Oreochromis niloticus: one gene and its partner. The protein of the gene in region 1 binds, or shares a complex with, the protein of each later gene. Links are inferred from orthologs where the notes say so. Each region holds a gene or a part of one and is shown on either strand. Other genes may lie near its edges.

What was found.
Region 2: polr1b (region 1) and polr2f share a complex: the UniProt entries of both Homo sapiens proteins name them as parts of the pol I pre-initiation complex. The link is inferred for Oreochromis niloticus from reciprocal best matches to the Homo sapiens genes POLR1B and POLR2F.

The regions. Positions count from the first base shown.
Region 1 is NC_031978.2:25,915,706-25,922,677, reverse strand, and holds the start of polr1b (DNA-directed RNA polymerase I subunit RPA2), read right to left. Parts: upstream 3,055-6,972; coding exon 2,878-3,054; intron 2,500-2,877; coding exon 2,332-2,499; intron 2,252-2,331; coding exon 2,105-2,251; intron 2,023-2,104; coding exon 1,890-2,022; intron 1,812-1,889; coding exon 1,675-1,811; intron 1,592-1,674; coding exon 1,368-1,591; intron 1,276-1,367; coding exon 1,104-1,275; intron 1-1,103. UniProt on the Homo sapiens protein: Catalytic core component of RNA polymerase I (Pol I), a DNA-dependent RNA polymerase which synthesizes ribosomal RNA precursors using the four ribonucleoside triphosphates as substrates.
Region 2 is NC_031969.2:9,906,643-9,914,135, reverse strand, and holds the start of polr2f (DNA-directed RNA polymerases I, II, and III subunit RPABC2), read right to left. Parts: upstream 3,052-7,493; 5' UTR 2,911-3,051; coding exon 2,891-2,910; intron 2,698-2,890; coding exon 2,628-2,697; intron 2,497-2,627; coding exon 2,366-2,496; intron 526-2,365; coding exon 454-525; intron 338-453; coding exon 247-337; 3' UTR 1-246. Other genes in the region: MICAL-like protein 1, read right to left, coding at 3,960-4,084, 4,260-4,303, 4,380-4,494, 6,296-6,369, 6,457-6,547, 6,651-6,777, 6,978-7,100, 7,229-7,493. UniProt on the Homo sapiens protein: DNA-dependent RNA polymerase catalyzes the transcription of DNA into RNA using the four ribonucleoside triphosphates as substrates.

The DNA.
Region 1 (6,972 bases):
GGTTACTTTTAAAATGTATTCCACTGCAGATTACAGAATACATGCCCCAAAATGTATTTTCCACCGCCGTGGAATTACCAAAAGAGGGCATAGCCTAACATATGAATCAGGAAAAGACCGCCGTGTAATCCATTTATTTCAACAAAGTAAATGTATTCTGAATACCACCTTTTTAAACGGTAACTGTAACGGAATACAGTTACTCATATTTTGTATTTTAAATGCGTAATGCCGGTACAGTGGTCCCTCGTTTACTACGGGAGTTATGTTCCAAAAATAACCCGCGATAGGTGAAATCCGCGAAGTAGCCAACTTTATTTTTTTACAATTATAATAGATGTTTTAAGGCTGTAAAACCACTCACTACACAGTTTATACACTTTTCTCAGACAGGCATGAACATTTTCACACTTTTCACTGTTGTTTAAACATTTTCAAAGTTCAAACCTTCGTAGAAAAATAAGTCCAGTATTATAGAATGAAACCAAATCACCCGCGGTTGCCTTTAATGGTGCAAAACGTCTCGTCGACATTGTTGTGTTTGTTGGGGAGAAAACTTACAAACATACAGTGCAGCACTTCAGAGTCACACTGCTAGCGATCGAAGATTTATCTAAATTTAACAAGCTGAACGCATTCTGTACTAAACAGGAGACACGGCACGAAATTGATTGACAATGGTCTACAGCCAATCAGGATGCAGAACACAATGTGCTGGAAAAAAAAAAAACAAAAAAACAAAAAAAAAAAACACACACACATGGAAAATTGCACCAAAAAAATCATCGAAACAGCGAGGCCGTGATAGGTGAATCGCATTACAGCGAGGGACCACTGTGCATGTATTCCGTTACTCCCCAACACTGACTGTGGATATGGAGCAGTCAGGTAAAAGGACAAGAAGTAGTCCACAGAAAAGAAACATGAATGTAGTGAAGGAGGACATGCAGAGGGCTGCTGTGAAAGATGTTAGCGATCGGGTGAGATGGAGGCAAATGATCTGCCTAAGAGGAGCAGCTGAAATGCTACTACAGTCCTCCTGCTCAGCAAAAGAGAAAGGACAAAGACAAAAGAAAACTACGAAAAATATTGAAGATTCTTGCCTTCAGAAACATGAGGTAGAGCTGACCAGGAGTGAGCACTTCCTGGCACACGATGCTGTCGGGGTTTTCTTCCATGCACTCCTGCTTGGCAAAAGTGAAGAGCTTCCTTGTCATCAGACACAGCAGGTAGAACTTCTCCACATCTGACTTCAGGTGGATGCAGATACACTCACTGATCAAAACAGAGTAAGACCCTTTTTTTAAATAAACATACCACCAAAAAAAAGCAGAATAGTGTCAACTGTATCCATCCCCAGAGCTTACTTTAACAAGAAGTTGGCACACTGTTCATTTGTGTACCACTCAGGGAGGTTCATCTTAACCCTGAAGCGCTCTCCGAGGTAATTGAGCACCTTGCTGCGGGTGGTGCAGTTCTCCTCCGTGACGATGCGCAGCATCTCAGAAACACAGGTCTTGTAGAAAGAATTGTCCTCGCGGCCTTTGATCAGCTCCTGGTAGATCTGGAAGTCTGTGAAGTCCACCAGAGCCTGAGGAACATGACAGCAAATGAGCACACAATGAGCCTAAAGCATTTTTATCATAATCTGTTCTGTAATGAAAGCTTGTTCACCTTTAACGCAAAGCCTAGTGGGAGGAAGAAGAGCTCTTTCTGGTAGATGAAGTTCAGCATCACAGTCCCGTTTTCCAGATAATGCAGGTTCATGTTGATGGCTGTGTGCTCCTCCCTCACGCAACGCATAGAAATACCTGTGAGGAGAAAAAGCCAGTGAAAACATGCAGGCGTGGAGTCATTGCTGCACTGTTTTCTTTAGAAGTAATACTTACCGTACTGAGTGTAACCCTGACCCCTGTTCTTCCACTTGGGTCTTGACATGGCGATAGGATAGTTCCTCCTTGGCATTATCAGCATGCGGATAACCTTCTCAATTCCATTCACAATGAAATAACCTCCCATTTCCTGTCAAAGTTGAGGCTGGTATTATAGGACAATATTTAAACCCATCCTGGCTCAGTTTGAAAGTACAACTGCCATATCCTACCTCGGCTTCTTCGTGATGCTCTACGAGCTCTTTGGGGGACATGCCATGCAGGTTACACAGCTTGGACTTCACCATGATGGGCACATGACCCAGAGACTGCTTGATGATGCCTTTGGGAACTCCGTTGATCGACCAGCTGACGTCTGCCTGAAGTGAGGCAACACTCACCCAGTCAATATGGATTATTTTAATGTTGCTCTGGGAATATAAACACGACTCAGGCTTACCACTATTTTCCCTTTGTACGAGCATCTTCTTCCCCGGCACTCTGCTGGGAACACCTTCATTTCCTTGCAGATGTTCCCTTTGGCAACCACTGGGTTTTGGATGGCAGCTTCAACGAAACCAAGGCTGATCCGTTCATTTTTGAACATGAACTCTAAGGGGGGGATGGCCTGGGAAAGGTGACAGAAAAGTGAGAAACGTAAGAAAGGCAAAGATTATGGGAAGCAACTGCAAGAGGGATGTTCACAGCAGGTTGAGCTGAGAAAATACTGCTGGAGCTGATATCAGCAGCTAGTCGCCCAGCAGGAAACCAAATTCTTCACTCACTCATTTCATCGTTGTTATGGTGGCTTTCACTAACCTACCTACCTACCTACCTACAGTAACTCACTGCATATGACTGCACGGCGTGTTCAAGACAAGCTTACACAACTCCGAGTCACACAGTGTACGTAACTAATCGCAGTTTTAACTAGTTGGGGTTAATCGCTGGTCTTAATGAAGTGATTCATCACATTGTTGAAAACTTTAAAGAAACTTTTGCTGACCTGCACAACGCGGTTGAGTCCGTCTATGACCGCCTGGTCAAACGACTCGATGTGAGCTTTGGTCAGATCCTGAATGGCAGCATGCTGGGTGTCCTTCATGTGGCCAAAGCTTCCATCTGTCAAATTTTTCAGACTCGGACCTTTAGGAAGATCACTCCACTTACTTGAAAAATCCATGCTTACGCTTGTTTACCACATGTGCATGGTTGACACAGGAAGCACATGCCCTACACAGGAAGAGAAGCGTTTTCTTCTTCGCTTACGTTTTTTGAGTGTAAGTAGACTCGCTCACTGCTAGCTTAGCGCCATCTTCTGGGAGTAGTTATGCATAAAAATTCGTTTAGCTCAAGTGAAGCGAGTGGTGGTGATTGCGACCCTCTTCCAGGTGGAGGCGTTGTGGGACCAACAAACAGCGGTGGTTTTCAATGGAAAGAGAGGACAGAGAAACTGTGTTGATGGTGTTATAAGCTATAGAAAACATGATGTATGAGGTTGTGTGCTGGGTGTATATTTATGAGGAGAGGAGAAATAGTGTAAAAAGACTGGGTCCCGCTGTATTACTCAGGCTGCACTACAGCGTCTATTCACAGGCGCGATCCCACTACTGAGCGGCACGGGGGCTTTGACCTGCTTCGTTTCCGACCTGGGCCGGTGCACCCCTCCTTAGGCGACCTGGTGGTCCCGAGCTCCCCCAGGAGCACCATATCGATGCCGAACTTAGTGCGGACACCCGATCGGCATAGTCCGCTGCAGCTCAGAGCTCCTGAGCTCAAACGATCCGCCAGCCTCAGCCTCCCGGTAGCTTGGATTACAGGCGCGCGCCACCGCACCCGGCGAGAGGTGCTCTCGTTTATGCAGGCTTTAAGGTGTCTACACGTGACGTCATCAGAGAGGGACGCTCTATCCTCGCGGCACCTGCTCATTTAAAATAACATTATTATTATTCCATAAATAAAAAGGCTAAAGGTAAAGATTAAATCATAATGTTTCACATTACAAATTCAATTCAATTTTTTTTATATAGCGCCACACTGTAACAACCAATGTCTCAAGGCGCTTCATATTGTAAGGTAAACACGCTACAATAATAGAAGAATACAAGAAAATGACATATTGTAATGTAATAAAAGTGGATTGAAAATATGATTCAAAGTCTCACCAAGTTCAACCATTTTACTTTTCAAGGCTAAATGTTAGTAGGACACGTCCACAGATCAAACTGAAAAACATTTTCCCCTCCAAATCACTTTCGTGAAGACAATTCTTTGTCTTCCTGACCTTTGTCAGCTCCAGTTTGTAAAATCAATCTGTACTGGTTATCTTGACACATAATCCACAACTCCACTTATTACACTTTGGTTGCAGCAATCATTTTACACTACAACATTTAGTAAAGAAAAACAACAATAGTCTCCTTGAGCTGAGGAGTTGTTAATAAAACTGCTCTGTGCTGAGTCTGCATAATGACAGGAGGGTTTGTATGAATGCAAAAACTTTCATATAAAACAACTCTATTACCAGTTTGCTTCGTGCACAGGGAGTGGCAGTTTGAATATCCAGTGTCTGTACTGAATGATGCTACTTTAAGTGCTTGGTGATTTGGTGGACTGCCTCTATGTGATTAACAGACTGAAATAATGTTGTCCATGTTTCTCATCTTATCTGCTTTGCAATAAACGGTTCTTTAAAACTTCTTTAACGACTGAGCCTTTGCCTTGGGTTTGATGACTAAAGTCTCCACTCTAAAACGGGTGGATTATATTAAAATCTATGATTATTCACTCCAAATTATTTTTAGACACTATAACAGGTCATCCAACTAATTAGGCTGCTTTTCAATGTAACATTGTGATGTTTATTATACTGAATTGAAGTCTGCAAATATTAAAACTTAAATAACATTTGCAAACAGCATATTCCTTTAATATTAATTACCAGGCACTGCATGCAAGACATTATGATTGGGAGCTGAGCCGCCCTAAAAGTTTGAACCCAGAATGGCCCCAGCTTCTGATCTGCATTTGTAGTCATGTTCCCAGAGGAATGTGCCATATTCATTCTATTTGGCTAATGTTTCCTCACTTTTAACAGACTTCTGTTTGATAGCACATAAAGCACTGCTACATCTTAGTCAACCCATTTAATCCCACCGACAACAATTGTTGCCGTTTTAACCCCCATTACATTAAAAAAAAACTGTAAACATATTGTGTGTAGGGGAAGTCTAAGGACTAAAATGCATGCACTTATTTTACAAGGGAAAATTTGGGATTAAATGGGTTAAGTAATGAATTACAGGCTCTGTGTGCTAGAGCTTTAGAACCTACTGTCTTTCAAGACACTGGTGGCCAGCAGGCCAAGGTGGATGTAATATCGGGGGAGTATGTCTGTGCAGAGTTGTCTCATCAGTCACCTTTTTAATTGTTAATGTGGATTTTCCCTGTTTTGATTTATTTTCCCTTTAGTTTGATGTTGTTTGTTAGTCTGAGTTTTTCTTCAGTTGTGGCCAAACACATCAGCACTCTAAATATCCAGCACTGACCCACAGCTGTAAAGTGAAAAGGAAGTGAATTTAATGTGTTCTCAGCCAACCTTTACAATATCCTCAGCAAAAAAGATACAGTTAATATTATTTTATGTCGTTTCTTGGATGATTGGAGGCAGTAGACTACAGTCCAGTAATGACAGTGGGCATCAGTTGTTGTTCATTTGAGATTCTGGTAATTACACAAGAGACAAATTTGAGGGCTAAAAGTAAAATCCAGACAAAGACATGGCAGAATTTCAGTCTTTATGGCTGTTATCAGTCTGTGGAAGTATTTAGTCCTTAGGTAGGATGAATAAAGTCGAAATGTTTGTACATGTGATGTGCACTGCAGTAAAATTTATTATGAAGTCAAGACAAGCAGTTTAAGTAAATGTGACTTAGTTTTTATAGTCTCTTGATTTTTCCTTCTTTAAAAAAAATTATTTCAAAGAAGTAAAACAAAATCCAATTCTGTTAGTTTGGACAGATGTGTAACAATCCATCTACATCCATCCATTTCTTTTAGCCAACTTAAGCTTGTAGAAAGAAGAAAAAAACGTATAGGTGAATAGTTTCTGTGAAGTTGCAATGAGTGATGTAATTGCCACTCTTCTCCAGGTGGAGGCGCTGTGGGACCAACAAACCAGTGTTTTTTAATGGAAAGGACGGAGAGAAAAACTGTGTTGATGGTGTTATAAGCTGTTAAAACATGATGTATGAGGTTGTGTGCTGGGTGTATATTTCTGTGGAGAGGAGAAATAGTGTAAAAAGACTGGGTCTCGCTGTATTACTCAGGCTGCACTACAGCGTCTATTCACAGGCGCGATCCCACTACTGAGCGGCACGGGGGCTTTGACCTGCTTCGTTTCCGACCTGGGCCGGTGCACCCCTCCTTAGGCGACCTGGTGGTCCCGAGCTCCCCCAGGAGCACCATATCGATGCCGAACTTAGTGCGGACACCCGATCGGCATAGTCCGCTGCAGCTCAGAGCTCCTGAGCTCAAACGATCCGCCAGCCTCAGCCTCCCGGTAGCTTGGATTACAGGCGCGCGCCACCGCACCCGGCGAGAGGTGCTCTCGTTTATGCAGGCTTTAAGGTGTCCACACGTGACGTCATCAGAGAGGGACGCTCTATCCTCGCGGCACCTGCTCATTTAAAATAACATTATTATTATTATTATTATTACATAAATAAAAAGGCTAAAGGTAAAGATTACATCACAATGTTTCACATTACGCATTCAATTCAAATTTTTTTATATAGCGCCACACCGTAACAACCAATGTCTCAAGGCGCTTCATATTGTAAGGTAAACACGCTACAATAATAGAAGAATACAAGAAAATGACATATTGTAATGTAATAAAAGTGGATTGAAAATATGATTCAAAGTCTCACCAAGTTCAACCATTTTACTTTTCAAGGCTAAATGTTAGTAGGACACGTCCACAGATCAAACTGAAAAACATTTTCCCCTCCAAATCACTTTGGTGAAGTCAATTCTTTGTCTTCCTGACCTTTGTCAGCTCCAGTTTGTAAAATCATTCAGTACTGGTTATCGTGACACA
Region 2 (7,493 bases), on another chromosome or scaffold:
AAGTAAGTTCACAGGATTATGACCTATAAACAACATAATAATTTGTTTTGCACTATTTTGAGTCTTTAAGTAGTCCTAGGCAGTACAACTCATGTATACAGTCACCAGAGAAATACGGCGACTGGATCTGGGAGTGGGCGTGAAGGACACTCCTCCACTGGGTTTGTGTAGCTGTCAAACCAGTTAGGATGGTGGCTGTGAAGCAGCTTAGGCTGATCTGTCAGCGTAGACTTCTTCATAAGATGTTTAATCAGTTATGATGAGCTCGTCGCAACCCCAGTCCTCGTAACTCCCATCGGGAAGGTACCTGCGGATGATGATGGGGATCTTTCTGCTCCTGTCGGTGAGGACAAAAAGACAGAGATACTGTTACAGTCACCTGCTCTTTAAATAATGTCACTCACACATAAAAAGAGAAATGACATAAAGTCATCAAAGAAAATGATGGCTTACTTTAGTTCTTTCATAGCTATCTGCAACGGGTCTGTTTCTCCCTCCAGCTCCACCATAACTGGAGCACACATCCTGTTGGAGACAAGTCAGCAGGTAAACCACATCATTACAGTGTTGGAGCCTTTTTTCAATGCTCAGTCTACAAACACCATATCTTCTTCTTTTGGGTAATTGAGGGTTAGTATTTAAGGAAGTCTGGGTTAATCAGTGACAGGTCCAAGTGCTTTAAGAGGAAGCAAGTCATTTTTGATCGTGCTTTACTTTGTGCCGCAGAGTTTCCTTTCTCTTTTTTATTAATTTGGAAAGGTTTATAGAAGGTAAATGAGAGGCATATACTACAAATGAAGTTCAACATAGTGCAGGGAAAACCTAGCTATCTGGCTTGACAAAACCTAAAACCCCAGTCAGAGATGGTAGGTGTCATCACAGAACTGTTTTTGTTAAGTCAGGCTCTTTGTGTGTTCACATATAAGAAAGGTGGCGTCCGACACGATATTTGACTCTCCTTTAGTGCAGAATGGGTCAAGTGAGCATCAGAGACATTTTTAAGTTCTACAGGTAGCATTTACAAAACATCTCACTTCAGCAGAGAATCTATATCACATTTACAGCCTACTGGAAATAAAAAAATCAGTGAAAATGTGCCACTTCTGAATGATTTTAAACTAAAACTTTAACCATAACATGCTGCTGACCAGGCTGTGTGTTTAGCATAATTTACTGTGGTGATCTGGCCAGGTCAAAGAAAAGCCATCTTTGTGACACTGAAAACGCTTAGCCTCGTCTTACCTTGCTAACCCATTAATCTCACTTTGTAGTACACACCTAAGGTTAAGATCAGAAGGTGCTCACCTGAATCCAACTATCATCTATAAAACATGAACTCTAATCACAGGTAAACTGATATTTCTGGTGCTAATTAACTTTATATTAACATGACATTAAATGCACCAGCTTCACTCAATTATTCATGATCCTTACCTTTGCTCCTACAAAAGACAAAGTAACACAGTGTACTATACCGGTGTACTACACTGCAGTACTCTTTTACATTACTCTTCAGCATAGATCTATATTCTATGACAAAACTTGACAAAAGGACCAAAAAAGTGTGGACGAATATTTTCAACATCTCACTCTCACCGACTGTGGTGCCGTACAACTCACTCTGATAGTTATGAAATGCTTTGAGCAGCTGTCAACATAAAGAACAACACTATGCTTATCAGTACACCTACAGGAAGAACTGCTCTGCATCACACAGAGTGTTGTACACTTCGCTCTCATAAACACAAAAGTGGAAACTCCTATGTCAGGTTGTCAGGAAGATCGGGAGACTGGTGTGGGAAACATAACCTCTGTATCAGTCGGACGTGGAACGTTAACACCTCCAGCATGATTAACCTTAAACCTAACCATGAGGCAGGCCTGCCTTAACAGCCCAGTGCTGGCAGCAGGTGTGTGGTGGAGAGTACAATTACTTTCTTTATCACCACCTTGAACAGGAAGTGGTCTACTGCTGACAGGAAGTTACTGCAGAAAGTAATGTCAGCTGTGCAGCAACCTCATCTCCTCTCCCTTCCATTGAGGACATTTGTCTCAGCAGGTGCAGTAGTAGTGCCTTGGATCATGAGGGAACCCACCCACCCAGCAGAGTACCAAGGCCATAGGTCACAAGGCTCAAATGCAGCTTCTTCCCAGAGGCTGGAGGATTGGTGAACTCCATACGTCAGTGGTTGCGCTTGCACTGTTTTGCCCTGCTCAGTTTTCAATGTGTCTTGTTTTTTTTCATATTCTCTATTAATTATTTTTTAAGACTTATTCTTAAAGATAGGTTATTGTCTTGTCTGTTGCGGGAGGACAAATTTCATTTACATGTGGAAGCTGTAAATGACGATGAAGAAACACTCACGCTATCTGGAGGGCTCGTGTCCCCAGCACTCTGGCCCTCTCGTATTTGGTCATGTACGGAGTTGTGATCCTCTTCTGGTTTGCCTGTTGGCCCTCTCCCGCGGGCAGGATCTGCACGTTCTCCTGGTCATCCTGTTCACCAGAAAACAACCAACAATAAACATGATACAAAGGCAATCAGTAGTGCTAAAAATAAAACTGACGACAAACAACAAAAGCAAAGCAGTGTCTGTGCTGTCCAGTTAAGAGAGTCATCAACTTACGTCTTCCACGTTTTCGAGATCATCTAATCCCTCATCCTCCTCGGCATCATCAAAATCTCCATCATCGAAGCTGCAAATTTGACACAAAGTTTTGTTTTTAAAGACAATAAATGGATTCTAAAGACAGCAAATTGTCAATGAGTTTATACAAAGCAGTTAGCAGTGTGGCTAACCGCGTTAGCTACAATGTTAGTTCGCGCCAACTTATAATAAAGAAACAAGCATTTTAATATGAATTTCATTAAAGTGTCATCATTACTTACTTATCTTCGTTGTCGGACATGTTTTAACCTAAAGTTTACGTATAAAATTACTCAAACGGTAGAAGAAAGTCAACACACTTTGTTGTTAACACGGACCCACATGAACGCTACGAAGCTTAAACTTCCGGTGGTTTGGTGCGCTGGAAAATATTCCGGATGAAAGAGAGGAAAAGGAACTTTTGTTTTTCCTTTCCACTTGTACTCCAGTAAAATTATATTTATTTATTGTTTTTAAATCCCAAAAAACAAACAACAAAAACGTTGATTGTTGTAATTAAAATAAATAAATAAAATTCGCCATTTGTCGTACGAGCGGTATTTCTGTTTCTCTTTATTTTTGAGTGGCGTCAATGAGCCTGTAGCTTTTTATGACCTCTAATTTTACTTAGGAAAACATTCTTTTTGAAACTATGAGAAATAGATAATTTTCTTTGTTAACATAAATGCAGCTGCTTAAATGCCATTTAGCCTGGGCTTCGTTTAGACTTGACAGCCAACATGTTAGCTGGGAATCTCCACAGTGCCCGTTGTGGCCCAGTTTTTTCGTTAATGTTCAGACGTCAAACAACCTTTCAGAATAAGATCTTCTAGAACGAAAAATTAAGACTCATATTTTGAGTCACCAAGTATTTTCAGCCTCTCCTCTTTATTATTTTCCTTTTACTTAAAATCATATTGAAGAAAAAAAGACTGCAAAATTGAGAATGGACATAATCCTACATTACTGCTGTGTTAACAGGCACATTGTGCGTATATATAAAGTATTTTTTGTCTGTTTTTTGATGAATTCAAATGCACTACAGACAGTACTTAACATATGAGAAGATTTATTTCACACTTAAAAAAAACACAAGTATGTGATACAATATCATAAAAAATAAGATACTGACAATTTTTAGAGTGAAAAAGCACATTAATAATAATGTATACATCGTGCCGCCTGAGAACAATACATTTTGTTTGGTGATGTTACTGAGCTGGGCTTTAACACACAATTAGTAAGCATGTACTTAATAAGTGCATATTTCATACTGTTCACAGATGAACAATGAGAACTTCTGACACTTCTTCAACTCTTTTTGTCCACAGAGTTCTTTGTGCTTTCTTCTTTGTGGTTCAGGATTTTAAGTACTTTTGTGGGCTTGAAATCTTTTTTTGACTTCGTTAGCTCTTTTAATCCTTCTTTCTGGAAGTCTGAGAAGAGATGGAAGAGCAGCAAAACAAACATTAAGCAGTAAGCAAACATTGACATAGAGCATTATTTGTAATCCAGCGAATCCATTTCTTTCTGCCTTCGTTATACAGAAAAAAAAAACAGAAGATACAAAACAGTACCAAAGAGCTTTTATTAGAAGACTCGTTATCTTACCTTTATTCATTATATCTTCCCAAAGCACGTTATTTTCTCTCTCCCTAATCAGAAAAACAAAGTTGTACTCACATAAAATTTACAAATGCAAAAGCATAATTTATTTTTTTCCTTAAGTACCTCTGTCTGTCCTGATCCAGGCTGCTGATGATGTGGTTCCTCTGTTCAATGATGGTGACCAGCTCATCCATCAGCTTCTTCTCTTTATCTCGATCCTCCTGACTCCAGTTCTTGTCTGTGTGTGCAGATGATGACAATGAAAGTTCAACACAATAAGATTTCATTTAATAAATCAGCGATCTTCATTGGATTCCACTGATAGGATAGCAACAATATTCTTATAGAAACATATTAATTCATCTCAGTGCCTTTTAAGAGCCAACTCAGAGCCTTCTTGTAGTGTTTCTTGTTCTTGTTGCACCATTTAGCCTCAAAAAGCATGCCAGGATCCAGTATTACTTACCAGTCTGAGAATGGCAAAAGTATGTGACCCTCTAAGATTAACTGGTAATTCAAATATGTGATTAGAAACAAGTGTTTTCAGTGACAGACTTGACAATCAAATGTGAGTTGGTGTTTCTGTTTCTCATCAGGCTTGAAAAGTTCACAAAACCATCTCTAAACTGTTTGGACTTCCACCAGTCTAGACTTACAGTAGTGAGTTTTCAAATGGAGGAAATGCTGGAGCATTGTTACCCTCCACAGCAGTGGGCGTGTTGTAGTGCGGGAGGTCACAAAGGAACAAAGGTTAGTGAAATCTCAGACTCTGCTCCCTCACAGTGCCCAAAATTGGATCACTTTCCACAAAAAGAAAATGACCAAGTCTATTACTATGCCACATTTGTTTAACTGGGTCTTCTTTCCTTCTTTTAGGATCATCAACTATTCTTCTTTCCAGCTGCAGTCACCACAGTGTCTCATCTGCCTCATCAACACTCTGCATGTCTTCCTTCACTACATCTATGAATCTCGTCTGTGGTCGTCTTCTTAGAGCATCAGTCTTTGTCCTCTCTGTGGAAAAACAAACAGCTCCTCAACACCACAAAAACTAAGGAAACAATGGACTTCTGGAGAAACAGACCCTTAGCCTATCACATCAGCAGGGACTGTGTGGAGAGGGTCTCTGACTGAAGTTTCTGCGGCTGCATCTGGATGATGATTTAACCTGGAAAACCTACACAACTGTGCTGATCAAGACGGCACAGTGGCGACTTCACTTCCAGAGGTTTCCTGAAAAACAATTCCCTAGCCAAGGAGCTCAAAGTGTACAGGCGGAACGGTTTCCCAGTGTGGTTTGCAAGCTGCGCTGCTCAGGAAACACTCCAGAGGGTCATCAGCGCAGCCAGGAAAATCATCGACTGTGCTTTAGAGGACCTCTACAGGTCCTGGTGCCACAGTAAAGCCCACAGTATCCTGATGGGCACATCACACATTCCAGCTGTTACCCTCAGGGAGGCGGTGCAGTTGGAACAAGACAAACAGACTGGAAAAACAGCACATCTCCCAGAACTAATGTACACTGAAGAATTTCCCTCCTCTCACTAACCCGCGCAACCAGTACTCTTCAGCAGTGAACAACAGTCTAATAATAATGATACACACAGACACATTTAAACACACACAGATTGAGATTGTTAGATTGCCTTCTGTGCACTGAATAGGACTCCATACAATTTCACTGTACTTTTCTTACATGATCATAAAGATTCTACATGTTTAGATATCTCAGCCCCTCTAACTATGTCTCTGAACCATGTCACAGCAGGTCTCAGCTTGTAAACATTCCTTTTCACCGTTGCAGCCATGCTGTTACAAATCACCCCTGACACGCAAAAATCTGATGGCAGTTATGTCAAATTTCTGCTAAAGACCTTTCAACACGCCTACAGAACCTTGGATGAAAGACTATTGATCCCTGAATTATTTACAAGCACCCCCGGTAATTCCCCTTGACTATGGAGATCAGTAATTCCCGTTAATGTCAAATACAGTTGCTGATAAAAGTGACCGAACGATGCACAGAGCTACATACTAACCAGGTTTATTAAAGAGACACCGGAGTTCGTACTCCACGTCGGTCTGCCTGTCCTCCAGGTTTTTCTGCTTTGTCCTGAGAAATAGAAATTACACAGGTGTTTACGATGCTCAGAAAACAAGAAAAAAAAAAGAAAAGCCGCACAAGTGAAAAAACGCTTACAGATGAACCAGCTCCGTGTCGTGGCACATCAGAACATGCCGCTCGTGGATAAGAGAGAACCACTGCATTAGCATTTGTTCCTCCTGTTTATCTGAAATAAAAAAGCAGGGAGCGTCAATTTATTGGCATTTACTCAAAGCGGCTTCACAATATCGAGGATTTTGTGCCAATAAATGATTTTATTTAGGACGAACCATTTTTGCAGCCTCTCAGGTTCCTCTCCAGTTCCACTCCTTTTCCCTCCAGTGTCTCCAGATGTTGATCCACTTCTCTCATCTGCACCTGCAGCTCTTCTGGGGAAGTGCACTGATCTGTCTGCACCTGTCAAGCAATAATTCACACACACACAAAAAAATGCACAAAGTGACTAAACCTTGTTATTCTGGGTAAACTACTCAGTTTGCTCAAAACGTCTCGTGTTAATGATGAGTCTGCATGTACATGACACAAAGGCACATCTAGAAATGACTCAGAATTAGAGTTTGAGACCTTTGAGTTTGTTCTAAATCCAGCTGCTGTACCTTTCTCTTGATGAGTGGGAATCCATGGCCAGGTGCGGGGCCCCGACAAGGTGAGAGGTCCTGAATGGTATTTGATTTGGATAATGTGGGTCTTTGAGCCTTAGGATCTTTTTCACAGGAAGGCTGAAAATAAAAAAATATATATAAAATGGAAAACTGTAAGAAACGCCATGTGAGATTGTCCTCTGGTAGAACATGAAGATGTGTGTTATGTTTGGTCTTTATTGGTTAACTCTGATCTCTTGTCGTACCTTACTTTGCCACGATGTGGCAGCTTCATCTGTCTCTGTTTGACCGACAGGTGCAGAACGAGGGTCAGAGCGATCAGACGCAATGGCTGGCACAGAGAGACTTCTGGGTAAAATGCGACTCTGTCTTGAAGCAGGAATGGGACACGGACGTGCTGCTTCTGTCACATCTGACGGAGCAATCTTACCACCATCTCCACCTCCTTCACCACAAGTTCTCTCTGTGTTAGTATCTCCAGTCACTTCTTTTACTGGGTCAAGTTCTGCA